Notamacropus eugenii: one gene and its partner. The protein of the gene in region 2 interacts with the protein of the main gene of each other region in a pairwise test. Links are inferred from orthologs where the notes say so. Each region holds a gene or a part of one and is shown on either strand. Other genes may lie near its edges. The genes, in order: MAPK8IP1 and LRP1.

The links.
Region 1: the proteins of LRP1 (region 2) and MAPK8IP1 interact in a two-hybrid assay, tested with the Homo sapiens proteins (2 studies listed by BioGRID). The link is inferred for Notamacropus eugenii from reciprocal best matches to the Homo sapiens genes LRP1 and MAPK8IP1.

Annotation. Positions count from the first base shown.
Region 1 is NC_092877.1:4,978,618-4,993,992, forward strand, and holds the start of MAPK8IP1 (C-Jun-amino-terminal kinase-interacting protein 1), read right to left. Parts: upstream 8,154-15,375; 5' UTR 7,991-8,153; coding exon 7,884-7,990; intron 1-7,883. UniProt on the Homo sapiens protein: The JNK-interacting protein (JIP) group of scaffold proteins selectively mediates JNK signaling by aggregating specific components of the MAPK cascade to form a functional JNK signaling module. Required for JNK activation in response to excitotoxic stress.
Region 2 is NC_092874.1:232,522,092-232,536,937, reverse strand, and holds the start of LRP1 (prolow-density lipoprotein receptor-related protein 1), read right to left. Parts: upstream 7,506-14,846; 5' UTR 7,082-7,505; coding exon 6,949-7,081; intron 1-6,948. UniProt on the Homo sapiens protein: Endocytic receptor involved in endocytosis and in phagocytosis of apoptotic cells. Required for early embryonic development. Involved in cellular lipid homeostasis.

The DNA of each region.
Region 1 (15,375 bases), on a different chromosome or scaffold from region 2:
GCCCAGGGTTACCAAGTCACATAGAGGACTCAGACCTAGGTCTTTCTCATTTCAAGGTTGATTCTCTTTCTGATATGCCACCCTGTCTCACTGGTGGTGGGGACTTTGATTCAGTCACTGTGGCATGAAAAACAAAAGACATTAATTAAGCTTTTTTTTCTTAAAGAAAAAAGTAGAAAAAATGAAGCAAACAGTGGCATCCAGAATGGAATGTAATACTCTATGTGTGGTTTGACCAGGGCAGAGGACAAAGGGGACTACTGTCTCTTCAAATCCAGCCTCATATACGTCCTATCTGTGTGACTCTGGGCAAGTCACTTAACTTCTTTCTGCCTCAGTTTCCTCATCTGTAAAATGAGGATCATACTAGTACCCACTTCCCCAGATTGTTGTGAAGAAAAAAATGAGAAGATATATGTGAGTGCCTTCGACCTCTATATGAGTTCTAGCTACTGTTATTACTACCACTCCAAGATACCATGTCTCTTTTTATGTGGGTTAAGATGTATTAGCTCTTTGGGTTTCCATATTGGTTCTTATGTCTTCTTTTCATCCTTTGTCTATCTGCTTCCTCCACTGTTAGCAGTTGCTTCTCCCTGTCCTCAGGGTGCCAGCTTCCCCTCCTCATTCTCTGCTTCTGATTTGTGGTGGTTTGGAAAACCAAATAACCAGCCTTGTCTAAAATAACAGTCAGTAGTGGCTGTGAGATGGTGCAGTGGATAGAGTGGTAGGAAGGTAGGAAGATCTGAGCTCAATATGGCCCCAGACCCTTACTAGCTGGATGACCTTGGATAAGTCACAACCTCTGTTTACCTAAGTGTCTTCCTTTATAAAATAGGGATGATAAGAGAACCTGCCTCCCAGGGTGGTTGTGAGGATCAAATGAGATCATTGTTAGGAAGAGCTTAACACAGGGAAAGGACACGTATAAATGTTAGCTGTTATTATTGTTATCAATCTCTGAATGGGAGCTTGGCCCAATCTAGTATAACAGAAAAAATCTCAGACCAAGAGTCAGGAGATCTGTGGAAATAGACAATGAAAGGTCCATTATTTCCATGTGATAGTTAGTCATTTTTCAACCATATCTGACTCTTTGTGACCCCATTGGGGTTTTCTTGGCAAAGATATTGGAGTGGTTTACCATTTCCTTCTCCAGCTCATTTTACAGATGAGGAAACTGAGGCAAACTGGGTTAAGTAACTTGCCCAGGGTCATGCAGCTAAATTCCCTATTCTCCAACTGGTCTATTCTCCAATTCTTTCAGTGGTCTTACAGTCCTCTTCTATGGAGGTGCGTCATCTCCATGCCCAGGCAGTGGACTCTTGAGGTCTTGGCTCAGGGCTGACCTTGGATAAGACCTTCAGGGAGCAATTGTTGAATGAATGAAAATGCAGGCCATACAGTCCCTCCCATGTCGAGATGGCATGAAAGAGCTCACAGAATTGAGACCTGGGAAAGGGTTCAGAAGTCATCTAGCACAAGCCCATCACCTCAACAGGAATCTCCTCTTTAATATCCTCAACAAGTGGTCATCTGGCCTGTTCTTGGATACATCAAGTGATGGGGAGCTCACCACCTCTTGAGGCAATCCATTCCATTCTGGGGCAGATCCAATTGTCAGGAAGTTTTTTGTTACCTCAAGCCAAATTCTGCCTCTTTCTAACTTCTAATCACTGCTCCTGTTTTTCCTTCTGGGGCCAAGCAGAATTAGTCTAATTCTCTTCAACAGGGCCAGCCCTCCCAATACTCTAAGACAGCTCTGATGTCCTCCCCTGAGTCTTGTCTTCCTCAGACCAGCCATGCCCTTTCCTTTTAATGACCCACACATTATCTACAGCCATATGAAAAAAATGCTCTAAATCGCTATTTATTAGAGAAATTCAAATAAAAACAACTCTGAGGTACCACCTCACACCTAGCAGATTGGCTAATATGACCAAAAAATGATGAATAGTGGAGAAAATGTAAGAAAAATTGGAACACTAGTGCATTGCTCCTGGAATTGTGAACTGATCCAACCATTCTGGAGAGCAATTTGGAACTATGCCCAAAGGCATAAAAATGTGCATACCCTTTGACCCATCAATATCACTTCTAGGTCTGTATCCCAAAGAGAGGACAAAAAGGGAAAAGGACACCTGTACAAATATATTTATAGCAGCTCTTTTTGTGGTGGCCAAGAACTGGAAACTGAGCAGATGTCCATCAATTGGGGAGTGGTTGAACAAGCCGTGGCATATGAATGGAATGGAATACTGTTGTGAAATGATGACTAGGTGGATTTCAGAAAAACCTGGACTTACATGAACTGATGCTGAGTGAAGTGAGCAGAACCAGGAGAACACTGGACACGGTAACAGTAACACTGTGTGATGGCCAACTCTCATAGACTTATCTCTTCTCAGCAATACAGTGATCCAAGACAATTCCAAAAGACATATGATGGAAAATGCTACCCACATCTAGAGAAAGAACTATGGAGTCTATTTCCTTCTTAGTCTTCCTCTTTTGTTCTGATTCTTCTTTCACAACATGACTAATGTGGAACTATGTTTAACATGATTGTACATATATAGCTATATGGTCTTGGGTAAGGGGAGGGGAAGGAGGGAGAAAAAAATTTGAAACTCAAAATCTTATAAAAGTGAATATTGAAAACTAAAATACAAATTAAAAAAATAATGATGCACATGTCAGAGTCTCCATCCCACCCACTCTCCTAGCTACCCACTCTGGAAGCCTCCAGCTTGTTGTGGTAAGTGGGATACTTTAAACTGAACCAAACTCCTCATTTTATAGATGAAGAAACCAAGGCCCACAGAAATTAGAGAATTTTCCCAAGTCATGTAAGGACTTGTCCCAAGTTTTAAATAGCAGAGTTAGCTCCTTTGACTCCAAAGATGGTGTTTATTCCGCTGAGAGGTTGCCTTCTATGAGAGTTGTTTCTCGCAGGAGGGAACCTAAGTTCCTTAGCTCCCAGAGGTGGAGGCTAGGGAGATAGCACCATAACAGAGCAGGGAAACAGAAAGAGAGGGGGAGGCACCCAAGATAAGCTCACACTGTTAGTGCAACTTCAGCCATGAATAGGAGCCCAGAGGTAGCCCTTGAATGGGGGTAGGTGGTGGGTGGGAACAAAGAGGTCTGGGGATTCATTGGCATGGGAGCTCCCAGTGGAGTAACTGCCTCTACCAATGCAGATCACCAACAGACTGGTCACTCACTCATAATGATAGGCAGTTGCCTGGGACCTCGAAAGTTCAGGACACGTCAGAGGTGAAACCCAAACATGGTTCAGCGGGCTCTGAGGTCAGGGCTGGATCCATTACCCCATATTCTATCTCAGTGCAATTTGCCCCCCAAAAAGTGCCTGTGGGTCATTGGGAGCAGAGATTCCTGACATTAAAAATGTGTATTTATGAAAAAGTCATATTAAAAAGGGCAGCTAGGTGGTGCAGTGGATAAAGCTCTCAGCCTAGAGTCAGGAAGACGAGTTCAAATCTGCTCTCAGATGCTTCCCAGTTGTGTGACCTTGGGCAAGTCATTTAACCCTGTTTGCCTCAGTTTCCTCATCTGTAAAATGAACTGGAGAAGGAAATGGCTAACCCTCTAGTATCTTTGTCAAGAAAACCCCAAATAGGATCATAAAGAACTGGACACAACTGTAAAACAACTGAATATACACATATTTTTAATTGATTTTTATGAAAAATTGTTACCATTTCCCAGTACCAGCCACCATGAGAACAAAGAATTACAATGAGATAAAATAATCCACTGATCGCTCTGATAATGCATACCTTATTCTACACCAGTAGCCCACCACACTTCCCTGCTACTCTGGAGGGCACCCCAATCATCCAAGCTCACAACCTCAGCATCATCCTTAGTTCCTCACTATCTCCCCATGTTTCTCCAACCTAAGCAGCATCTCACATATGTCACCTTCTCTCCACTCACATAGTCCCCTCCTAAGTTCAGGCCGTCACCACATTTTTCTTGGTCTAATAGCCTCTAATAGGTCTGCCTGCCTCCAGTTTCTCCCCCACCACAATCCATTGTCCATTCAGCTACCAAGATGACGTTTCTAAAGCACAGGTCTGACCATGCCACCCCTCCCCACTTAATAAATTTCAAAGGCTCCCTATGTTCTCCCGGATCAAACACAAGATCTATCACTTAGTGCCTTTCATAACTTGGTCCCCACCTATCTTTCCAGCCTTCTTCTAGTTTTCCACATACACATTCTACAATCCATGATACTGACCTACTTGTAATTCCCTAAACACATCATTTCATTATCACACATATCTATGCCTTTTCACTGAAATGTTTTCCCTCCTCAGCTCTATCTAGCATCCCTGGCTTCCTTCAAGACTCAGTACAAATCTTACCTTCTGCAGTAACCCTCTCCCAGTCCTCCCAGCTAGAAATGCTTTCCAGTTGCAAATTACCTTTTGACTCTCTCTCTCTCTCCCTCTCTGTCTCTCTCTCTCTCTTATCTCTCTCTCTCTCTGTCTCTCTGTTTCTTTCTGTCTCTCTCTCTCTCTGTCTCTCCCTCTCTCTATGTCTCTCTCTCTCCCCTCTTTCTCTGATTTTGTCTGTCTGCCTCTATCTCTATCTTAGAGCATCTCTTCCACTGTCTATATCTTGTCTGTACCAAGTTGTTTACATGTCTGCTTCTTCAGAGGAGGGACCGTGTTTTTTGCTATTCTTTGTATCACCCATGCCTGGCACATAGTGAGATCTTTATAAATGCCCATTGATGGACTGCCTTCCTATTTTCTCTTTTAGAGGCCTTTTTTGCCCTTCTTTCTATTGGGCTCCAATTCCCATTTCCCCTCCTCCATAGCACCTTCAGGAATTGTCTGATCTTTGTAGGGGTCTCTCTCCCCAATTCTGGGTCTCTAGAGCTCTCTGTCTTTGAAATAGGAAAATCCTCTCTATTCTGTCTTCCATTGTTTTAAGAGGAAGGGAGCAATGGTCTTGGGGCAGCAGGTGCTTTCCTACCTCTCTGGGAAAAGGTTCTTCTTCAACCCTCTCACTCTCATTCTTTCTCCTGATCCTTACACCCAGGCCCCCTCATAATGACTTTCTCTCTTCTCCTCTTCCCTCCCCAACCCTGGCTATGGCATGGATGTTGGACCAGTGACCCCTGGGAAAGTCTAGGCTGTCTTTCACTAACTTGCTATGCAGCTTTGGGCAAGTCAATTAGCCTTTGTTTCCCCATCTGTAAAATGAGAGGGTTAAACCAGATAATTGTTCTAGTGCCTTCCAATTTTCTAATGCCCTGACATTATCTAATAAGTTTATAAGTAGCTATGAAAAGAGAAATTAATTTAGTGTCAGGATATTTGGATTCAAAATCTAACCTGCCACTTACCAACTCTGTAACTGTGGGCAAGTCATTTAAAGGAACAACTTATTTCTATTGATTTATAGGAGTCTATTCGTTACGGAACAGATGCAAGTATTATTCTTATTTTACAGATGAGGAAACTAAGGCTCAGAGGAGCCATTTGTCCAAGGTGATATCAGTAATTGGTTGAGCTGGAATTTGAACTTGGGGCTCCTAACCCAGATCTACACCACAATGCCATGAAATCTTAATTGTGTCTCAATTTCCTCAAGTGAAAATTGGGGTGACAATACTTGCTCCTCCTAGTTCACAGAGCTGTGAAAGAAATACTCTATTGACTGTGAAGAGCCTGGTGTCACAGCTACTGTAGGGATAAGGATGGGGGAGGGAGAGGGTCAGGGAGAAAGAAGTTGAGAGGATTTGGGAAGTGAGAGCAAAGGGATGGTGGAGGGGAAAGGGCAGGGAACAGCTTAAGTACAAAGTGTGGCTGATGCCTTGAAGCAAGAATCTTCTGCCTTGGAACTTGGTAGATCATTGTCCTCACACACAGCTGTCTGCACCCCACTTCCTTCTGTGCAGATGGGCTCCACAGAGCCCTCCACAGTCTTTATCCCAGGCCTCCAGGTCGGGGATACTATCTGGGGACCCTACAGGGATCCACTCCATGACCTCAGTCTCATTAGCAATGAGACTGCCACTGTGGCTCAGGTGCTCCTCTCCACTCCCATTCCCTTCTCCAGACTGGAAGTCTCAAGGGCCCCTGTGGCTGGAAGGCACCATTAGTGACCCTCCTGGGGGCCTTCAGTCTCTGACATGTGCTAGCAGGAGGAGACAGACACAGACACAGGAACCTTCAGGCACTGGGCCCCAGCTGGGATCAGACTGCCAGGCGGGGGTGGGGGGAGCTAGTGTCCAGGGAGAAGGGAAGGATTATTAGCAGGAGAAAGAACAATGATGTTTATTTGAACCTTTCTCCAAGGATCTCCAAGCACTTTGAAGACGTGCTGCTCACTCTCATAAAACTCCTGAGGTTGGGGTTGGGGGCAGAGTGGTGGTGGTGGAGGAATGACATTATTCAGTGACTGGAATTCACACCTCCCACTTATCTGAACACACATACGCTTCCTACTCCCCGTTCCCCCCTTGACCTATACCCTATATGTTCCAGGGTCTGTTCCAGGGCAGGTCAAAGAAGGAAAGAAGTTCCAGACATAAGGGTCTTTTATAAGAATCTTCCAGACCCAGTCCAGGCTGAGCAAAAAAACCCAAAAAACCCTCTGAAAACAACTTGACCCTTCTGATCCTGAACCACCTTCCCAGGATTGCTTGGAGCTGTCAATGATGGGGGTAGAGGAGACAGAGAAAATAGCCTTCTCTCTCCTCCTTCCTCTTCCTTTGGCTATCCTCCCCAGGTGAAATGTCTGCTAAGGGACCGAGCTCGGCCCAAGTAGGAGAGATTCCCTAGGTCTGGGTCCAGTCGGGAAGAGCTAGGATAGAGACTGGTGGTGCAAAGGGGGTCCAGAGGCTACCCTGACCTCTCTTTCTTTCTCACAGAGCGGCTGGGGAGAAAGTGGTTCAAAGAACCTCTGTCTCTCTCCAAGGTGCTCAAACCTCTTTTTACTCGATCTCCCGCCATCCGAGCTCCCACTCGGTCAGACCCATTTGGGGAAGTTGTCAGGCCTCCGGGTACCTCAGAGATCACTCAGGGAGATTATATCTAGGGCGCTCTCCCTACTCTCCTGGGGCCCTCCCATCATTATAGGCTCCTAAGATTTAGAACTGAAAGGTATCTTAGAGATCATTTGGTCCAGTCCCTTAGATTGATGAGGAAGCTGAGACTCAGGGGGAGTGACTTACCCACGGCCACACACAATGAAAGAGCAGAGCTGAGTTGAAGCCTGGATTTTCTTACTCCAGATTCAATGTCCCCACCCCCCAGGATGTCTAGGTTAATCTTCCTTCACCTCATATACGGTCAGACGGAGGCCAGCTTTGCCTAGCACAGACCTCATCTTCCCCATAGTGGTGGTGGGGGAGAGACAAGGACACGTGGCTCTGAGGCCCCTTCATTCTAAGGGCCAACCACCCGCCCAGAGCTTTTTCTTTGGGTTGGGGAGGCATTTGCCACCTTGGAACTCCTGACACCACCAACCAAGGGATAGCCGACCTTCATGTGAGCTGGCGATCTGGGTCGCAGGCCCAGAACCTCCCCACCACGGTAGAAGACCCCCGCCCACTGACCCCACCTCCAATTCTGGCGGAGAGGAAGGAGGACCCAGAGACAGTCTGGGAAATGGCATCCGGAGTCCCCTTCCTCCTCCTCGGTGCCCCAGCCTCTCTACCCGAATACCCACCCTCGCCCCTTCCAGTCCAGCCCCAAGGCGGAAAGGACTTGCTCCTGGGGTGGGGGGAGAGGCCGCTGCCCTGGGTAAGGGAGAAGGGGATCCCTAGTTACCCCGGGGTAGGGCGAGCAGCGGAGAGTGCATGGCGGGGATGCGCGCCCTGGGCCCCTAGCGCTTCTCACCTGAAATTGGGAGGCGACACGATATGCAGCCCCAGGAACGGGGAGGCCCCAGGCGTGGACGCGGCGCCCCCGCCCCCGGCGCGCCCGCCGCTCTCTCGCTCCGCCATTCTCCCGGCGCAGCCCAGTCCATCCGGGCGGGCGGAGCGAGCCAGAGAGGAGGAGGAGGAGAAGGGAAAGAAGGCGGAGGAGGAAGAGGAGAAGGAGGAGGAAGAGGAGGAAGAGGAGGGGGAGGAGGAGAGAGAGGGGGAGAAGGGAGAGGAGGAGAGAGAGGAGGAGAAGGAGGAGGGAGAGGGGGAAGAGGGAGAGGAGGAGGAGGAGGGAGAGGGGGAGGAGGAAAGGGAGGGGAAGAGAGAGAGAGGAAGAGAGGGAGGGGGAGGAAGGAAGGGCGGAGAAGCTGCTGCTGTAGCCATCAGGCTCCCGGAGGGGAGGAGGAGGAGGAGAAAGGGGCGGGACGCACCTGCGGAGGGCTCGGCTCCCGAGTCTGGGGGCTGGGCATCCGCTACCAGGCAGCGCTGGGTGAACTTAGGGCAGCCGGGGACTTGGTGAAAGCAGGGGCTGGAGAGGGTCGCGGCGTTGGAACTGGCCGGGTGGCAGGGACACCGAGGGACCTAGAGGGGAAACTCTCTCCTCTCCTCCTCGGCACTCCTGCTTCCTCCAATAGCGCGGGGTAGCGCCCCCGCCGCCGCTCTCCAAGGTGCTGAAGCCTCCCATTCCCTGGTTACCTGCCATTCTCCACCCCCACCTTGTCCACCGTATTTTGGAGTTGTCAAACCTCAGAATATCTCAGAGATTATTCCCATCCCTGGGGGGGGGGGGGGGGGGGGGGGGGGGGGAATGCAGAATTACTGAGATTTAAAAGCCTGTTGTTTATGCGGGACCTGCACAGTCTCCTACCACTGGATCTCAGATGGAATGGAAATAGCCCCAGGTCTGGAACCTCGTCTCTGCCTCTCACTCTCCATGGGACCCGAGACAGGTCCCTTTCTCGGTCTGGGCCTCAGTTTCATAATATATAAAATGAAGGGATTAGACTACACCTTCTCTAAGATTCCTTCACTTTGGAAGCTGTACAGAGAAAATGAGAAAAGGAGGGGAGGCAGGGCAAAGGTCATCCAGATTCATGTCTTCCCACTCGGACCCATTTCTTCCTCAAATACCTTGGATAATATTTGGTCCCAGAAATCTGGACTCTACTATAGGCTTGAGTGTTAAAGGCTAGAAAGGACCATAGAAATCAAGTCCAACCCCACTTTACAGAGAAATGTGGGCTGGTACAACTTGCAAGGCCCCACAGTTTAAGGGGTGGGAAGGCTGAGTTGATTCCAAGGACAATGCTCTCTCCCCTGCATCAAGCTTCCTCTTGCCCCCCCTCCCCCAGAGTGTTTTCTGGGCCTCTGAAGTCCCCTTCCCAGCCCTGACCCTTTCCCACCTCCTAGCCCCAGATCAGTCCCAGACTAGAGACACTGTATCCTCTCTTTCCTAATCCGAGCCTCCTCTGACTTCCCCACCCCCAAGGCTGTCAGCAATGTCTGATTTTCTCACCTCACCGACTCTCTCTCAGCACCTTGATAGCATTTGCTCCTTGTAAAGGGCTCTTCTCTAGGCTAACACACTGTCTTCTCTGCCAGGGCACAGGGTCTGCCTCCTGAATACCAACCCATTAATTTCATGATCTTCTGAGTTTCATTTCTCTCTCGGGTTCTCCTACCTCTTAGCCGTTTGGGATTTTTTCTGAGTTATATTTTCCCCCCTTTTCCCCCCACTGACACAAAGCCTTGGCTGAGTAGCTCCTTCCCAGTATACCTACTTTGGTTCTTCCCTCTCCAGGGACTGGTGCCTATGCTGTTTGGGCCCTTGGAGCTCCTAACATCCCCTTGATGAGCTTCCTATGGAAATTCATCTAACAAGCCAGCTTATTGCTGTGGGTGTTGGCAAAGAGCAGAGCCCCTGAAGCCTGTACCAGGCTCCAACCCCACAGGTTGGATTGTATCTTTGGATCTCTTTGTCATCTCAGCATCCACACCTCCATACCCCCATGTGCCCCAGAACAGCGTCCTGCTTTCTCCTGAGAAGTCTGGCCCCAGAAAGCACCTTCCCCAGAATTCCACCCGAATAGGTTTCTGCTAATAGAATAAATGCTGAACTTGAAGTCAGATCTGGTTTCAAATCTTGTCTTTGCCACCTGTTTCTATGGTCCTAGGCACATAACTACATCTTTTGGGGCCTTAGTAAAGTGAGAAGGCTGGACCAAGAGAGATTCCTTCCACTCCTAAACCTAGGAATTCTGTAGGACTTGAATGTTGTAACCTCATCCCTTCCTTCTGGTGTCTGTTAGGATCCCCATTGCCTACTCGATGTGCAAACTCCCGATTCCAGCATTCAAAGTCCTCCCCGAGCTGCTTTTTGGCCTTAGCCCACTTTGCATCCCTTCAGTCTCCATCTACACTGACCCCTCAGGTGTCTGTGCTTCTGCTCATGGTCTCATACCCAGAATGGACTGTTGGCTAAGGCTAACTCAAGTGACACCTTTTCCTCTGCAGAGCTCTCCAGTTGATGCTGACCTTGTCCTTTATCCTTGTCGTTTGGGTTCTTGTCCTTTCTACCCTCTGACTGTGGGCTCTGGGAGCTCCTTAGGCACAAAGCCGATATCCTACTTTAGACTATGAAGGCCTTGCTTAGTCCCTGGTATGTAATAATTGGTGCTTAATAAACATTTGTTGAGTTGGTTGCTTGGCACAAATCCCCACAGATACCTGCTCCTCGGATGTAACACTGCTAAGAACAGTCAGACTGAAAGCATCTGCAGGGAATATCCATAGGATCCAACTCCTTGGGTGGCCCACTCCTCTCATCCTGAAGGCTTAGGAGAGGCCCTTTTCATGGCATTGCTGCTAGAAAATCAGGCCCGCCTCCTATGGGCCTTCTCAGCCTCTGTAGTGGGATTCACGCATGCCAATGATTATTTCTGGATGTATGGGTATCCTGGAATCTGGACCCTGTGAGGCCTTTTGGATGAAATAGGGAGGTAAGGATTTCCTTCCTTCTGGGCTCTATCCCCCACCCATTTAGGGCTTAAACTGGACTTTATGCTCTAGAATCCAGATGAGACACAGATCAAAGGAAAGCTAGCCCAAGGTTAGTTTAGAAAGCGCCATTGCTCAAAATCAATGCCAAGAGTGGGGGAAGGACACCATCATCCCCACTGGGCTATGCCTGGCATCTAAGGGCCAGGGTTTGGCCAACCCAACTTATCACAGTGACTAGAAAGTTGAAGGCTGGGTTGCCAGAGCACTGTGCCATGGCACCACTGGACCAAGACCAGAAGCATGCCATCCTATAACAGTGACTGAGGCTCCTCAGGCAGGTGCTGAACAAACTTTTCCTGATAAAGTTTCCCAGCAGGTGTATCAACAAGGCTGCAGCAATATTCATACCGGGCCAAAGGCTAGTACAGAAGCATGCCAAGACCCCACCACTCCCCGTGGGGATGCTGAATTCAAGGTTCTCAGACTCCAGAAGAAGCCATGGATTCCAGCGACCCCTTTTCTCTTCCCTTGAGGGTGCTATGGCTCTACTAAAGTATCCCACCCTGGATTCAGGCTTGCAGTTAAGCAGGATTTGCCTTCCCACAATTTAGAGTCTGGAGAACAACCTTCTCCATCAGAGTAGTGGCAGCCTTGCCCACCCCCACTCTTGGCGGCTGCTAGAACAGATGGGACAGGCACAGCACAGGCAAGGTCAGACGTTTATAAAACAAAGATATATTTTACAGGCAGACCACGGGAAAAACACCATACCTTTCAAACACAGAAGTCTCTGTGCAAAGGGCACTGGGCCCATTGCCATCAGTCCCCATGGTTCCCTTAGGAATGAGCTGGGGAAAAGCTTGGGGCAGTGGGCCCCAGAGGCAAGTCTAAGGTAGAGAGGAAGGAGGGCTAATCCAAGCCTGGAGAAGGCTCATCCTGCTCCATCTACTGGTCAGACTGGGGACAAGCTACAACCACCAATAAATTAAGGAGAGGGTGGGGTAGAGGAACTGGAGGTTTTGCTTTCTTCTTTGGGGGGAGTACAATCTTTGAATGAGATGGGGAGGGACCTCGACTCCCACTCTGAGGACCCATCTTCTTGCACATTTGCCATGGTCCACACACCATCAGGCTGGTCTGTGTCCTGTCAGCAGAGAGCTTAGGGCCCCGTTCTACTGAACCCCACTTCCCACTGCTCCCTACTCTTACGACCCACTCTGGGACAGACAAAGGGCATTTCTAGAGGAAATGAGCAAGGTAACAGCTGAAGGGTGAGGGCAGAAAGGAGGCCCAAAGCTGTGGGGGAAGGTCAGGAGGGGGCAGTGCATGAAGCCAAGGAGGCTACTGGAGGCCCTTGGCCCAGCAAACACACACACACACACACACACACACGTGCACACATACATACATACATACATGTGTCCCCCCCCCACAGACTTTCTGCAGCCCCATGAGAGGCTGGGGGCGGGGAGGAAGACTTCTCTAGGTGGTTACATTTTACTTCGGTCTACTCCAAGTTCCGTTTCATGATGGTTTCTAGCGCAGTGCAAGGCAGGCCTTCATCCCTGTATGGAAGGATGAGGAGGCGGGGAGGGTGGGATGGGCAATGATGAAAGAAGGAGGCCACTGGACACTCCTGGAATCTGGGCCTCCCCTCAGCTGATTTCTCCTAGTTGTCCCAGAACACTGACCAGTTGCCAGGCCTTGGTGTCCAAAGCAGCAGAGGACGACTCCCTGCGGCTGGGCTGGCAGCCCTTCCTCAGTGGGTGTCGTGGGTGGGAGAAGGGCAGGTGCCACTATAAGAACTCCACTAAGCATTCAATCTGCTGCTGATAGAAGGAGATTTCTATTCTCTGAGACCCAGTACCCCTTTAAGCTAAGATACCATGAGCAGCCTCTGTTTCTAACAGTTTAACTTCTGCACCTGACCTGAGGCAATGAGTGTGCAGGGAGCAGGGCAAGGCAGAGTGGGCTGTGGCAGGTTCCCAAGAGGGGTCTTCCAATAGCCCCTTGCATGATGCCATGCCATCAGAATGCTTAGTCCTGCTCTCTGAGGAGGAAAAAGTTTCAGATGCCCCTAATCTAGAAGATGCTCAGACTCTAACACAAGGCAGCAAAGCCTGGCACTGGAGAGCTGGGGTCTGGGCAGAGGCAGGGCCTGGCCAGCATCCAGCCCTGCTGCTTCAGCTACAGCTTCATGGTCCCACTGCCCTGATAGAAGGAGAAGAGAGGGCAAGGTCACCTGCTCTGGAGGCCCCTGCTGGGGCCCAACCTCTGGGCTTGTGGGGGGGCTGGAGAGTCCAGGGTGCGAGTGGCCTCAAGGGTACAAGGGTGTCTCCAGGAGTGGAGGCTGCCACCTCCCAACTGCACATCACGTAACGCCCCTCCTTCCCATATGCGGGCACACACGGGCACACACAGGCACACACATTCTCTTCGCAGGGGACTTGCTTTCCCTGCAGTCCGTGGTCTGCTGGCATTGTGGCCATGCTGCGCCCTTCTTTCTGCAGCTGCTCAGCTCTGCTGCTGGAAGGAGAAACATCCAAAAGCAGCAGTCAGCCGACATCTTGAACCACAGGAGCACACTCGCTCCTCCCTGCTCGTCCCCGCTGTCCCACTCCCCATGATGACCAGCCTGGGGTCCAGCAGTCAGGGTCAGGGGGATGGTGGATGTGGGGGCTCCTGTTCAGGGCAGTGCTCTCTATCTTGGAGAATGCACAGGCCCTGCTGTGATGAAATGCAGGGGAATTTCACCCTACTGAGGATAAATCACTGGTAATAGCCAGAGCTCCAAATGTATAAGGCACTCCAAGGACAAGGCCAGGAGAGAATGACTGTTCAGGGCCGGGTCTCTACACAAAGGTACTGGAGCTGACTGAGGGGGCCCTCTGAACCAGTAACTTGTAATGGGAAGGAACTGAATGGGCTCATGGCCAGTTAAGAGAGCCCAGGCCAGGGTGGGAAGGGGAGCAAGAGGACGAGCTCGGGGAAAATGAAGATATCCCTTGGTTGGGAGTAGAGGGAGGAGGACGCTGACAGTGAGGGAATCCAATTTAAAACAACTCTCCATGAAAGTCAGGGCCTATCTATACAGGCAGTGTTGTCACATGGAACAGTCAGTCATATGCACAGGTCCATGTGTAAGTGTAAGGCGGTGGGATCCTGAAGGCACAGGGCACAGGATTGAGAAGGCTGAGGAATCTAAGAAAGCTGGGGACCATTTAGGGGCAGGGGTGGCTGGGCATGAAGACAGCAGCAGGCTGGAGTGGGCTAGGAAGGGGAGAAGCAGGTGCCGAATGGTGGCACAGGTAGGGTCAGAACATGGTATGGAGACTCAACAAGGTGAAGGCAGGCTCCTTGTCTCAGTGCTTAGGATGGTGCCTGGCAGGATGGTGGCAGGTGGCCAATGAATGCTTAAGGGTGTGAGGGAAGGAGCAGCCTGTCCCTGAAGGGAAGGTCAACAGACTGGACACGAGGAGAGAATCAGGATTTGCTGAGCACAGAAAGGGTCAGGAGGGTGAGAGGAAGAGCATAGAGGCACAGGGATGAGGCCTGGGAGGAAGCTCTGGGTCATCCTGTTCAAGGCTGAGGGGAGCAAAGGAGGCAGAGCCTGAGGTCCAGATGAGGTTCTTGTTTCTGATCCACAGCAACACAGAAGGGAGGGAGAACTAGTTGTCATGGGGGAGAGCCAGAGTGGAATTTCCCATGGAGGCATGGAGGTGGACAACATGTGGGCACAGCCCCTGGCAGGAAGGCAGAGGAGCGGGGGGAGAGGGTGAAAGGGGATGAATACCCTCGGGAGCAGGGTGGAGGGATGGGGTGTCAGTCGCTGGGACAGCTACCTCGGGCCAGCTCCAGTTCTCTAACTTGTACCTTCAAAGGAATCCCTTCTACGCCATCCCCAAAAGGCAGGTACTAGCCTGTATTTGAACACCTCTCATGATGGGGAACTCACTACCTGTGAAAGCAGCACATCCATCCTCTGTCAACTCTAACTGTTAGAACTTTCCCTGCATCGATTCCTTTGGGGGCCAAGCAGAACGAGTCTCCTCTCTTGTAGTGAGTGAAAAGTGAGACATGAGTCAAACTCCTCACTTACAGAGAGCTCCTAGTAGACAGCAATGAACCCAACCAGAGTGCTGTGAGAAAAGACTGCTGACGGGTGTTAGTGATCACACTAGTGGAAAGAAGACAATGAAAAGGGTGGCACTGGGTCTGAAGGGCACAGCACTCAAACCATGGGGGCGGGGGTGGTTTCAAACATTCTTCACAAAATAATGTGACTGAGACACAAAGGTATGGAGGCTGTAACTCAAGGCGAAATCCCTAACATAAGGAGATTTCAAACAGCTACATAAGCTTAAATTTATCTGGGTAATTACTGGTCTGGCAGGGGGCAGGATGGCAAGGCGGCTGGGACAGCGGCAGATCTGTGCCTGTGGTGACACGCAGCCCTCACAATGTGC
Region 2 (14,846 bases):
CTTTCTCTTTGAGGACACTTAAAACAATGGCCAAGTTAAACTCCAGTGAAAGTAACTGGATGATACTGCATAGGGGTGGAGGTTTGGCATGCAAAAGGGGCCTTTGAGTTGGGGACCCACCCACATGGAGAATGATCAAGGCAATAGATTCACCCCATCATGGGACACCCCAATTGATATAGTCTAAGGAACCAGGGGAAGCTGGGGGGATTGATACTCAAGGACAAGATGATACCCTAAGATTAGACCCCCTTAGCCTCGCCAGGTTTAAGGTCACCTCTGTAAATTAAGAATGCTAAATTATATAAATAAAGATAATTAGAGAGCCTTCCAAGGCCTCATTTAGCCGTCTCATTAATTTTTTTGTTCCCCACTCTGGCTCATGTAAACAGGGTCTGTGGAGGCTTTCTTCTCCAGGGGAGAGGATCTCTCAGTCTCTCCCTTCTATCACCTCACCTGAGGTCTCATCTCCCTCTGTCTGGGAGCAGTTTAAACCCCTTCCCTTCTTGCCTTTCCTTCTATGGGGAGAAGAAATGGTGCATCCTTTTCCTCCAGAAAATACCTCTTCAGAGTCCCCAGGCCAGGGGCTTATTTCCCCCACTTCCTAGATCTTCTCTTTTGGGGCTACATCCCTCTCAGATCCCTTTTTTCTCCCCACCCCCATTCCCACATCTTTCCAGACCTCCCCTGCCACTACCACCACCTCCTCCCCACCCCCTCCACCCCCACCAGGGGGCCCAGGCCTCCAGCCAGGACCTTAGCAAAACCCAGGAAATGCATCAAGGATGGTCTTGCCAGGCCCCAGGAGCTCCCCCACCCCCAATCCATCCTAGCCCTCAGCCCCAAATAAAGGGCCCTTGAGGAGGTAGATAATGCTGAGTTCATTGCCCCACTGGACCAGCTGTGAGGTCTTCCCGGGAAATGGAGCTCGTTAGCATTCGGAACAGTCCTCTTCCCTCAACAACTCCGTTGGCTACAAGGTGGGGGGGGGGGGCGGATTTGGGAGTGGTGCAGAATGGGATTCATTGGCAGATGGGATACTTGAGGAGAGAACTAGAAGGCTCTAGCCACTCTCCACTTTTACTTCTTTTTTACATTTCCTCTTTCTTTCCCCTGAGTCGAAGTCCGGGCTCAGATAGGGTCATTCGTTGCTTATCCTGGCCTCTCCTCATCCATGTCCCATTCAGCGTCCTCCCCGTCTATCCCTCCCCCTCCCTCCTCTAGCCTCTGCTTGGTCCCCCAGCCTCCGCTTCCCCCCCACCCCACCCCCTTCATTTTTGGCCAGAGTTCGACAGAGGAAACAGCAGCTGGCAAACTCCGAAAGCTGGAATGAGTGAGATTCACAAACCAGATGTGCTCTTTGGGGGGGGGGGGGGGGGGGGAGGGGAGGGACCGAAGAAGAAAGGGAAAGCAGAGAAGGCTAGAGCTCAGGGCTCCTTTTTCCCTCCCAGAGGCATCTATCCCGCCTTCCCTTGTGCTCCCCCTCCCTTGCCCAAGCCTGCAGGATGGGGGACACTGCTGACCTGCCTGTCAGTGAAAGGAGGTGATAACCCTAAGACCTCTTCTGGACTCTGTGAGGCCTGGGAGGAAGGGAGGCAGATTTGGAGGACAGGCCCGTACCACTTCAGTAACTCACTTTCAGATAACGGACACGGCTAAGATAAAGTTTTTTATCTAGTACTCCCAGTCATACTCATCTGCAGGGACTTCGAATTTGCTTCACTTGGAGTTGGCAGACGTTCCTCCCTCCCTTCCCTATCCATATCACCTGAATCTAAAACACAGGAACCCCATCAACCTTTGTCTAGCACTAAAGACAGAGGCAAGCTGACAATGCACTCAAACTCGGGGTGGGGGGTACAGATGCCTCTGGGAAGAACTGGTCAGTCATTTTCAGCTCCTGAGTTGGTGGTGTTCCTCGACCAGCTGCATAGACAGGCTAGGATCCAGTAGAACAGTGACAAGAGGCGATTTTTGGTCTATTTCCATTTGGAGGAGGAGAGGGAGCTAGAGTTTGGGGGGGGGCAGCTGGCTGGGTAACAAACTTCTGGGAGAAAGAAGAGAGAGGGAAAGGGAGGAAGGGAGGGAGAGAATACAGCCAGCAGCACAGAAGGGGCGTCTGTTCTCAGCTTTGCTTCTAGACGAATGTGACCGCCATGCTAAAGCTAGCTGACACCCCTGCTCTTCCTATTCCCCACCCTGGGCTCTTGGCCCAGTCCTGGCCTCTGGGGCCACTAAGAATGACCCACTGGAAGCATTCGGCCAGACACAACATGGACTCCCCCTGTCCCACTCGGACTCTGGCTGAAGCCCTCTATCCATGTCTGGGACCTTTAAGGAGAAGGGGACTGGAGTTGGGGGGGGAGAGGACAGAAAGAGATTAAGAGTTGGAGAAGGAAAAGATGGCAAAGGCCTCCCTTTAGGGAAGATAGTTGGGAAGGTGAAGTCTTGGAATAAAGGGGTGCTGGTCATTCCCTAAACCAATAAAGAGCAGCTTAAAAGCGGAGGGAAGTGGTCTGTAAGGGGATTTCCCAAAAGGCTAGAGAGACCTGGGGACAGTAAGTAGGAAAGATCTCCTATTTTTGCAACATAGAGGCAAAGGGAGAGATTAATTTTCTCCTCCCGGGGCCATCTAAGGAAAAGAACCACAGAGGATATATTTAAGGGCAGAGAGGAAGGTGGGGGACTGGAGGAGCACTGGGGGACACAGTGAACAGGACTATGAACTTTCAGATAAACTGGAAATGGGGATAACAGAAGAGCCTCCCAGCCCCAAACCCAGAGCTTTTTACTTGATTTAATGTATTTTGGGTGTTACCCCGCAGCTCTGGAGGCTCCCAGAGGCTCAGACACATTTTTGTCATTCCTGAGTCTGGGCCTCTGCTCTGTGGCCAGGATGGATGGATGGGGTGGCTCAGACCGCTGGGGGAGGAGAAGAGGGCCCCCTCCACCCTGAGTCAATATTGACTCAGCAGGACATGAGCCTGACCCTTAACCCCCCTCCCCACACACAAGATTTTTCTTTGACCCCACAAATGAAACCCAGACCACCAAGCTATCCTTAGAGGTCATCACATCTATCCCTCTGCCTTCACAATCCCAAGTCTATCTGCCTATACTTTGCAAGGAAGCAAATTCCCCAGGCTCACTGGATTCCCCAACTCTTTCCCCTGATATCTTTAATTATTGGGAAATTCCCCGTGAAGTCCAAGTTCTCTTCCTCATGATGCTCAGCCCCTTAACTCCCACTCTGCCCATGGGATACGGCAAACTCACTCCCTGAGACTCCCCCTCTAATATCTGCTCTCTAAGTGAGGGGGGGCAGAAAGGAAAGAGGGCAGGGGGGACATTTCTTTCATCCAGTTTTCACTGGAAGCTTAAGAACTCATTGCCTCGGCCAACTCAAGGAAGAGCATGTGATACAGACTTAGGGAGCGATTGGAGACAGAGATGTCAAGAGATAGACAAACCCAGTGAAAAAAGGTAAAGAAAGACTGGGAGAATCAGGGAGGGGAGACAGAGGGAGTGAAGGAGAGACAGGGAGGGGTCGACAATCGAAGGGTAAGCTGCCAGAGACAATGACATAGCTGTCCTGGGGTGAACCTAGCAAATGACACCATCAAGGAAGTAATAGTGTAGAAATGGGACTGAGGGGACTAAGTCCCCTTCCCGGCTGTCTGCACTTACCCTGGGATTACCAGCATGAGGGATAAATTCCCATTACACAGAGAAGGAAAGCAGTTAGGACTCATGTCAAGGCCTTTCCAAGACTTGGAAGGGTGAGAAGAGGAAAATTAAAAGCTGGGCATCTTCCCTGAAAGATACTCTAGATTGGGGCAGGAGTGGGAGAGGATCAGGGCAAGGGACAGATGACCCCACAACCCCACTCTCCCTCCATCACCACAGAGGGTGGTTTCACGCTTGGTGCCTCCAGGCCACAGGCTCCGGAAACACTCCAGAGCCGACTGCTTCCTTCTCTAAACAATGCTGATTCCTGCTGATGGAGCTGAAACCTGGCTACAGAGCCAGGGATTGAGAGGAAAAGCTGTCCCCAACCTACGCGCACATCCCCAGGCCCACCTTAGACATAACCCCAAGAGAAAACCTAGGTCAAAAAACCCTTATCCAACTACACTCCCATATACCTCAAGGATTCCCCAAAAGCAAATCATTGAGACCACCTTCTGAACACTTCCACTCATGATTCAGGGGACAGGGGTCAGGGCTCAGTGACCTAGAAATTAGACTCCATCTCCACTGAAGGTAGAGGCTGAGAAGATGTTTAGATATGAAAGAAAATTTCCCAAAAGTGAGGGGCACATGTACGTTCGGGATGGCGATTCCCTGCCCCAGTTTGACATAGGCGTGAGGTGGAGGTAGGAGTACTAGAAGACAGCTCTTGATGAGTTATGGTCTGGGCTCAGGGCTGGGGGTGGACAAGGAGAAGAGGGAGATAATGTGGGGAAGGTAGAGATGGGGTACAGTATAGAATAAACACAGGGTGGTGGAGGAGGAACTCCAATCAACATTTCCCTCAGCTACTCTGTTGATTCAGAGAGGAGGAGAACCTCCTCCTAACCCTCATGTCAAGAAGTGTCTAAGGAGGAAAACTGAGGCACAGAGCCAAAACAACATGGACTTTTAAGGTGACAATCCAAAAGTTTTCCCCCTAATAACAATGTGAATTTATATATCACTTCAGAGTTTACAAACCACTTTTTCCCCAAGAGCCCTGTGAGGTAGATAGTGCAAGTGTTATTATCACTATTTTACAAGTGAGGAAACTGAGGTCTGAAAAAGTGAAATAATTTGCCCATAGTTACATAGCTGACTTCATCATACTTCGTTCACCTCTCCTTCCATATTACAACTGCTTCTCTCATCTCATTCTTTTGGGCACAGTCTGAGATAATGGAATTTGAGGAGGGGGCAGTATTGGAGAAAAGGAATGGTCAGGGAGAACAGTTTCTAAACTTCGATCAGAGTTGAACGTCTCTGTAACACATACCTCCTCTCCCCCCCCCCCCCCCCCCAACGCTCCAGAGCGGGTAGCCAAAGCCAGCATTAGAGCCCTTGAACACAGAACAGCTGTGTCACTTTCTCATCCCATTGTGAAACTCCAGCTGGGCCCCTGAACACATCTCAGGATGTTTTGTGTTCCCCATAGTGGCCCCTCCAGCCTCTTAACACCCCCAACCAAATTGTTTTCCTCTTCTTGTCTTGACTTTTCTGATTCTTCCTAATCTTTCCCAGAACCAGGTGTCCCAATTCCCTCTGCCTCAGCTTCCCAGCATTCAAACCTCCTCATTGAAGGAAAAAAAGTTAAATATAATTATTTGGGGGGTACAGCAGGCAGATATAGGCTGCTTTGGAAAGAGATGAGGGCAGAGATTCTCCCTTCTTCTAAACTGGGCAATTTCTGTTTTTGTTTTCCTCCTAGCCCAAAGAAGGAGAGTTCTGAAGGATGGTATAATTGAGGAAGGGGGCATTGAATATTCCCCCTCTCTATGTGGGTTCCCTGCTCCCCAAACTTCTCCTCTCCTCTCCTGCCTCACTCTTAACCAAAGTAAGAGGGTCTTTGATTCCCATTGAGGTCAGGGGGAGGGGGACAGGGCAGTTGGATTTCTGAGAAAAACTTTCCCAACCCCAAACTTGGCAAAGTTTTGGAGATTGGAAGTGGGGGTGGAGGTGTGGTGGGCCTGAGGAGGGAGGGTCATTTCTTGCTGTGGGCAGAGTATGGAGCCCCCTGGGGGAAAAGGGTGGTGAGACACCCCACATACACTCAATCAGTGGGGCTCAGTTCTGCCCAGCCCAACCCCCAACCTATCCGTCCCTATTCTTGACTTAAGACAAGACTTGAACCCATGACTCAGGGTTAAATAGGAAAAGTTGCCAAAAGGGAGGAAAGGAGAGGGAACAAGAGGCCACCCCCAGTTCCCTAAAGCACATAGAGTTCCGGCTAGAGCTGATGTCTGCATTATGCAAAGGGAGAAGGGGGAGGGGGGGAGAAATTAAAAACAAATTCACTTAAGTTGCAGAACAGAAAACAGCAGCGGCATACTCCCCCTTCCTCCCATCCCTAAACTCTCCTAGTCCAAAGTGTGAAGGTACCAGAAAAGCATTCCGTGCCCCCACCTCAGTGATCCAAACCCGACTCCCAGCCCCTCTCCTCACTGATGACGTCTGACGTTTCATCCCAAACCTCCAGAAATTAAGAAGAGAAACTCGAAGTAACGTAATAACCCCCCACCCCTCCCACCTCTATCCCCATACAGCTCCACTCAACCCCGGCTACAGATAGAGGCCCACAAAAGGGGGAGTGTAGAAAGAAAGATGTGGAACCCTGGAGGCCTAGGCTAGAACCCAGTCCTTCTAGAACCCATTCCCTCCACCCCTGCTCCAGGGCCCAGTCCATCTTTTAGTACACAAGTCCTCTTCCTCTCCTCACACCTCTGCCCAATGTGGGCACCAAGGAAAAGCACTTCCCCCTTTGGCTTTCTCCCTCTACGCATTAGAAACGCACTGCAGACCCCCGCCCGAGCAGTTCTCCCCCCCCCCTTTGCAGATGTTTAATGCAAATCCAGATTCCTTCACAATTCAGATAGGGATGGGGGGGGGGGGGCCGGGACACGTCCTCCGCTAGAAATAGAGACAGCATAGGCCTCGCTTCATCTTCGGTGGCACTAAGCGGGCGCCGGGTCTGCCCCCCAAGCCAGTCTTTGTCTGAACTGGGGGGGTCCGGGAAGCATCTTCCACCCAGGCTCCCCACCCCCAGCCAACCCAGACCCCTGCTCCCAGCCCCCAGCCGGGGCGCTGCTGTGTCAGCTGGACCCGGATAACAAAAGGCCCCCCCACTCCGCGACTCCCTCCCCTTTCTGCAGTAAGAGGTGGGGACTGGGGAGGGGGCGTCCTCGGGGGAGGGGGGAGGGTGGGGGGACTCTCACTCACCATCCATCGCCGCTGTGGCCAGAGCCAAAGCCAGCGGCAGCAGCAGCAGCGGGCTCAGCATGGTGGTGCGGGGCCGGTGCAAACAGCCCCCTCCTCCGCAATCGGGCTCCTTCTTGACTGTGCCCCCCTTCATGGGGGTCCCCCGTTTTCCTCCCCGCCTTTATTTTTGTCTTTTCTTTCCGCAAAGCCCAGCGAGCTCTGGGATCGGAGGAGGGGGGTAGTGAGAAGGCAATAGTTAAGGGCCCCTCTGCTGGAGCTGGCTGGCGGGGAGGATGCGCCCCCAAATCGAACACCTCGAGGTCCCCCCTCCCTCCTCTTCTCTTGGCTCTCCCCTCGCCTAGGGCTTAGCTCAGAGCCCCATCTCGGAGCCGCCTCCGGCTGCAAAAATGCACAATTGGGAGGAGGCGGGGGGGGATGGGGGGGCGTGGACGGGGTGGGGGAGCCTAGGAAGGGGGGTCCTTCGCAGCTTTAGAAGAGCTGGAGGGTTCCCCTCTTTTCCTCCTCAGTGCAAGGGCCCTGAGCTCGCGCCTGTGCTCCCGGGATGGAGGTGGCGCGGGGGGGGGCGGGGGGAGGGAAGGGGGGAGTGGGAGGTAGGGAGCAGAGGGAGGGGGCGGGGAGGGGGAAGGGGCGGGGAGAAAAAAGAGGGGGAGAGCTAGCTACGCGGCAAATGTCCTGGTGCGCATGCGCGCCGTTCTCGCCCTCACCCTCCAGAAGAGGGGGAGAAGGAGGAGTGGCAGGGCCGAGGGGCTTGGAAAGCGGTTCCAGAGAGGCGGTGCCATGGACCCGCGGGCCAAGACACAGAATCATAGGATTGAAGCTAGAAGGGACATTCACTCCAGCTCGGTCACTTTACGGATGGGGAAACTGAGGCCCGGACATTTCTGTGACTTGTCAATGATCAAACTGATCACAGAGCCGGGATTCGAACCCGACTACAAACCCCTTCGCTCTTTCCCCACATCCAACTTCGCTCTAAGATCGCCGTCACTCCCCCCTCCCCTCCATCACCTCCCGTCTGCGTCTTCCAGAGCTGAGGGGATAGATGGGCAGGGTGTGGGGCTACAGGATTTCAGCCCCGTCCTGGGTTCTAGATTCTCCTCTCTGGACTTGGGCCTGTACCCTTCTGTAAGCTTGACCCTATCCCTGTCCTCCTCTTCCAACCCCCCCTTCCACATACACACGCCGCCCCCCCTCCCTCCCCCCCAATCCCTGGCCCGTAGAGAGCTGGGGAAGAGATGCCAGTCAGTGGGGAAGGCACTGGGAGAAGTTGAGCATTGATTTGGAGGCTCTGGGAAAAGTGGAAGGGGATTGGCTCTCGGGGCAAAGGGGGCGGGCCGGAACCGCCCAGGCCCCGCCCCACCTCCCTAGCTCTCGGCTTCCCAGTAAACAGGGACATTTGCCGGGACTCGACTGAACTTGTACTTTCGCCTTGGGTTAAGGACTAGAGCCCACCTTAGTGCCCGTCCCTCCCCGCCCCCGTCCCCCTTAGCCCACCCACCCCTCCTTTCCTTGGCGCAGGGCAGGTTTGGGGGCGAGCTGTTTGGAAGGGAGTGAGTCACTGGATGGGTGGGGCGGGCAGCGCCCCCGCCTCCCCCGGGGAGGTCAGAGGCATTTGTTGTGGTTGTTTTTGTTTTGAAAATGTCTGTGTTTGGGGCTTTTCCCACCTCCCAGGTGACTTCGGAAATGAAAGCTAGGGACCAGAGCTCTAACTCTCTGGGTTCTAGATTCACAAGAAAAAAGGTTTGTAATTGGCAAGTGGGAGGGGGGGAGATTCTGAGGATCGGTCTGGGATTTCTAGGTTTACTGGATTTCCATCCCTGAGTGCCCAGCCGTGGTCCCAGGTTCCGAGTCTTTTGCAATAGACGTCCCTCGAGCTCCGGGCTTTTGGGAATGTGCGTCTCGCCATTGCCCCCTTCTGGTCTGTCTTTTCGCCTTACATTATGGAGAGGGTCGAGTGGTAATGAAGAGCCTCCAGAAAAAGAGTGAGGAATGCCCTGCCAGATGTTGAAACTATGAAGCCAGTTGTTGGATGTTTGAGCAAAGAAAGCACAGCAGATACAAAGGGAAGAGTTAGGACCAATGAGTGGCAGTCGGATATGGGGAAAATTTTTCCAACTGTTAGAAATAACCAAAAAGCAGAATAGATTGATTAATGGCGTTGTTTCCTAGTCTAGAAATGTCTCATCTCCCCGGTCCATCCTTCTCACAGATGCCAACATAAAGACACATGCTTAAAACCTTAAGTGGCTCCCTGTTACTTCTAGGTTAAAATATACAGGAAGGAAATAAATATTTTATTAAGGGCCAGGTGACTATGTGCTAATCACCTTACACATATTTCGTTTGATCTTTACAACAACCTTAAGAAGAATTTGCTAGTATTATGGCCAATTTAAAATTGAGGAGACTGAGGTAGACAGGTGAAATCACTAGCCCAGAGTCACGCAGTGTGATGAGATTGAATTTGTTTTTTTTTACTAAGGTCTGGTAGTATTTAAGGATGTGCACAATTAGACTCTAACCTAGCCCACCAACCTTTTTTTTTTTTTAAATTCTTTTCAAAATTAGGAACTTAGTAATGAACAAACAAACATTTTCATGTACAAATTACAAGAACAAAAAGAGAAGATAATATATGAAAAGGGACATCTCTATCCTCTTTTATGCACATTATTGAAGTTCTGGGACAGTTAGCTGTTCCTCAGATTTTGAAGGGTATCTGCTGCCTCTGCACTCCCTCAGGTCATCCCCCGAGGGCTGAAATTCAGTCTTTCCTTAGCTCTGCCTTTCCTTATCCTCCTTTAAGGCTCAGTTCCTGTTTTCTCCATGAAGCCTTCCCAGATCTTCCTTAAGCCATTAGTGCTCCTTCTTCTTTTTCTAACAATCTTTACATGCTTGGAGCTATTTTTTGTCCTTTCACTTTCTATCTGAGGAAACATTTGTTTCTTCCTTCTTTCTATCTGTGAATATGTCATATACTTCCAGCTCCTTGATGATGGGAACTTTCATTTTCGTCTTTGTAGGTTCAGTATGTCCAACTATACTTTGCATTTAGTAGAAGTTTAAAATTTCCCCTCCTGATTGTGCTTCTAATTGTCCTGATTTTGTTCCCGTTCTTGGGTTACCTTCTCACTCCAGAACTTCCCTATGCCATGATGGCTTTCTTCTCCTCCTGGTATGTTTCCTTCCTGGGCCTTCATTTTGGGGAAGGTCCCAGATGGATCCTAAAGCTAAGTGCTTTATTCTTCTCTGGACTCCAGTGTTCTCATACCTTCTTTTCTTTCCCCCTCTTCCACTTTCAAGTTCCCTTTTATGTGTTGGTCCCATAAGCTCCTTGAGGGCAGGGAATATCTTTCTTTTTACTTGTATATGTATGTTTATCACTTAGCACAGTACCTGGCAAATAATGTTTTATTTGTGTGCTTGATAAATTTTTGTTGCTTTCCTACCTGCCTGCATGGAACTATATTTAAACAGAAGCTGGTTGACTGCCTGTTGAAGATGAATACAGCATCTTTGCTTCAGGATTGGACTAGATGACCTTTGAGGACCTGTCTACTTCTCATATAATATGATTCTATGAACCTCTTCCCCCATCAAACTCCAGGAGAGCAAGGTCTTGTACACCCAATGGGGACCACTATAGAATTCCTATAGGAGCATTTGAGGAGATTGACTCTTTTCTGAACCTTTGAAACTGAGAAGAATCAAAGCACTTTTAAAAATTGAGCTTAGCATTGTTTATCCAGAATATTTCTCTCTTGGCTCTCTCTGTGGTGTACTGTCTACCACCTTTCTTCCATGATTCTGATCTAGAAAGCTAGTTGCCTTTGTCTGCTTTCTCTTTTTTTTTTAACCTCCTATATTGACATAGTGTGGGAGTTTCCTTGGTTGGGGACTAGAAGGACTTTCTCCTTTTGTTCAGTTTCTGCATGCCATCGTAAGTCTCAATAGCCTCCTCAAAATCCACGTGGTGACTCTCCCTGCTTCCTGGTATACATATGCTTTGCCCCACTAAATATGGGCATAATTGTTTCTATTGGAAAGTAGCTGTTGTGATGAGATTGTACATCCCTAGTACTCTGCCAGTGGGGAAGCGGATAAGGAGTGGGGATAGGGAACTTGTGTTAGGGCTATAAAAATCTGCTTCCCTCCACCAGTGAGCACACTCCCTGGCTACCACTGATTGAGTGACAAGGGCTGTGCCTTTTCTCGTGAGAAAGAATAAAGACCTTCTCTGATCTCCAATTCAGACTCCGATCTTTATTGTGGTGGTGATCTCTGTCCCATACAGTTTTGGGAGCTCGTCCGGGATACCCTCAAAGGAGGAGGGGGTCCTTCTAACCCAGACCTACTGGCAGAAGGTCCCACCGAAGTTTAGTAGGAGGCCCTCAGTCAGGTTTGGGAGTGACCCTCCTCTGGTGGGAAAGGATCTGAAAGAAGACTGAAGCTGAGAGCAGAAAGTGATCGAAAGGGGGATGAGAAACACTCTCGGGATCAGTTGATCACGTAAGTCTGTGCACAGACCCAGGTGAGCCTTTTTGATTTTGAAACCCAGGGTGGTCGAATAGGGCAACACAGGAAGAACTAGTCCTATTGAGTCTGTAAGATTGAGGGGTCTGAGAAACTCTTGAGGGGTCTGAGAAACTCTGGGCAAGAAATAGGGAGCCTATTGCAGGTTAGTCTTGTTGAGTCTGCAGGATTGAGGAATCTGAGAAATCTTGGACAAGAAATTGAGAGTCTGTTGCCTGGAAACAGAAATTGAAAGAGACATGGTAAAGTCTTAGTCAAAGTTGAGTGGTGGGAGTCCCCTCCAAAAGGTACCAGAAGATAGTCCCTTAAGGACTATCTAAGCTAGCTAAGCAACTGGGATGAATTGCCAAAATATAAAAGGAAAGATAAGAGAAAGATGATCAAATATTGTTGTTTAATTTGGGATGGTGCTCAGCTTGGAGGAAACATCTTCTGTCCAAAGTATGGGTCCTCTGACGATTGGGTCTGCCAAAGTTTAAATAAGTATGTGAATAGTAAGGAATCTAGGGATGAGGAGGAGTGCATGTATGCTGCCCTCTGGCTGTCATCTGCTGGACAATTTGTGGTTAAGGAGACAGGAAAATCAGAAGACAAAGAGGAAAAACCGAAGACCTCCCCTCCTTGGGATCCTCTCCTTGCCCTCCCCGCTCTTTACACCCGTCAGCCAGCCCAGCCCCCAGTATCAGCTCCTCCCCCTTCTGTTCCATCAGAGAGAGGATGGCGGAGACCTGATTGATCTGGCAGTGACCACACAGCCACTTGCTCCTCTCTGCTGAGAATTAATTACTAAAAGAGCAGGAGAATTTTCCTCTCCCAACCCCCAACACTACCAACCTATTTCCCCTCAGGGAAGTTCCTCTAGCTCAAGGGGGAATTGGTTTTGTGAATGCTCCCCTCAGTAGGACAGAAGTTAGAGATTTTACAAAGGAAATGAAACCATTTATAGACAACCTGTCTGGGATTGCAGATCAATTTCACCAATTCTTGGGCGCTAATCTCTATACTTGGACTGAGTTAATGGCCATATTGGACATCCTTTTTACTGGGGAAGAGCAGGGGCAAATTAGAAGAGCAGCTGTGAGGGCTTGGGATGATGCACATCCACTGGCCCAGGGAGGGCTAAGAGGAGAGCAGAAGTATCCTTTCCAAGATCTCAGTTGGGATCACAATAACTCTGCCCACCATGACCTTATGAGGGACCTCAGAAGCATGATAGTCCAGGAAATAAGAAGTGCCATTCCTAAGAGTCAGAATATGAACAAAGTAACTGAGGTTAAACAAGAAAAAGGTGAAACCCCATCAGCCCTCCTGAATAGACTTACTGAGCACATGAGAAAATATTCAGTATTAGAACTAACTGATCCCACAGCTCAGAGCCTTCTTAGGGTATATTTTGTCACTGGGGCCTGGCCTGACATCAACAAGAAATGGCAGAAAATAGAAGGGTGGCAGGCTAGACCTTTAGATGAATTGTTAGAAACTGCTCAGAAGGTGTATATGACCAGGGAGGAGAAAGCTAAGCAAACCAAGATTATGTTGCAAGCTTTGAAACAACAAGAGGAACAAACTAAAATTATGATGCAGACCATGCAGACATAGTTAAATCAGTTATGAGGTCACAAGGGCAGAGGAGAGAGTGTGGTCCTCTGGGACCCAGAGGTGTCCCAAAGAGAGGAGGGTTCCCACCTCACACCCCATTGATTTGTTTCAGTTGTGATCAGAAGGAACACATGAAGAGCAATTGTCCCCAGCAAGAACAGAAAATTTTCTCTCATGGAAACTGAGGATTAGGGATGTCAGGGGTTCACAGAGCAGACCCACCCCGAGTCCTTGATAAGTTTCAGGGTGGGCAAAGAAAAGCAGGAATTCATGTTTCTAGTAGATACAGGTGCCAACCAATCCTCTCTAGTAAAACTACCCACCAGGGCAAAGATTGACAATGAGACTGATGATATCTGGAGTGAAAGGAGAAAACTTCCTGGTCCCCTTACTGAAATATTAGAATTTGAGTATTTAGGATCTAAATTTTGGGGAAAATTCTTATTTGTGCCCAAAGCTGGAGTCAACCTATTGGGGGAGGATCTTGATCACCCAAATGTCCATCTGGCTCATCCCATCAGGTCCCAAATTGTTCCCCAAAGAGTATTAGTATTAAGAGAAGGGTATGATTGAATCAAAAGTTTGGGCAGGACCTCAAAATCACTGGAAAGTAAACATTCCCCCATCATGATCAGACTGAACATACTGGGAACAATAGTTAGAGTAAGACAATATCCCATCTCCCTTGAAGGAAAGCAAGACCATAAACTGGTAATCCAAGGTTTATTGAAGGATTGGTTGTTAGAGCTGTCAGTTACCTTACAACTCCCTTATTCTTGAGGTCAGAAAAAGGGATGGGTCTTACTGTTTAGTCCAAGATCTTAGAGAAACCAATAAGATAGTCCTCTTGTCTTATCCTGTAGTCCCAGACCACTACAGTATTATGGGGAAAATCCCATCTGAGAGTAAATGTTTTAGTGTTATAGACTTGAAGGATGCCTTTTGGGCCTGCCCCCTGGATAAAGGAAGCAGGAGTTTGTTAGCCTTTGAGTGGAAAGACCAGAACACAGGCCCAAACCAACAGTTGAGGTGGTGTGTCCTTCCCCAAGGGTACATGGAGTCACCAAACTTGTTTGGCCAAGTCTTAGAAATGATCCTTGAGGATTTCCAACCCCTTCCACAAATGATTGTCCATCAATATATTGATGACTTACTGGTAGCAGGGCCCAAGAGAGAAGGTGTGAGTGAGACCTCAATTCAACTTTTAAATTTGTTAGGCACTAAAGGTTTGGGGGTCTCTCAGAAAAAGATGCAGTTTGCAGAATGGGAGGTGAAATATCTAGGCTGCCTCATCAATGGAGAGAGTAAAAAGCTGGACTCAATGGCAGGGATACTCCAGATTCGCCTCCCCAGGACAAAAATAGAACTGTGAAAATTCCTGGGGTTAATGGGATATTGTAGGTTATGGATTGACTCCTATGCAATATTGACGAAAACACTGTATAAACATTTGTTGGAAGAAGAACCTGATGTGGAATCAGGAGAGTGAGGATAGCTTTGTAAGGTTGAAAGATGCCCTGAAGTACCCCCATCCCTTTCCTTTCCAAAATATTAGACCCAGTAGCCACAGGGTGGCCCACTTGTGTCCAGGCAGTGGCCACCACAGCCATTCTGGTAGAAGAGAGTAGAAAATTGACCTTCGGGAGAAGTCTAGTAGTCAGTGTGCCCCACCAGGTCTTAAACCAGAGGGTGGGGTGATGGTTGACTGATTCTAGGATCCTTAAATATGAGGTGATTCTAATAGAGAAGGATGACGTGGTCCTTAC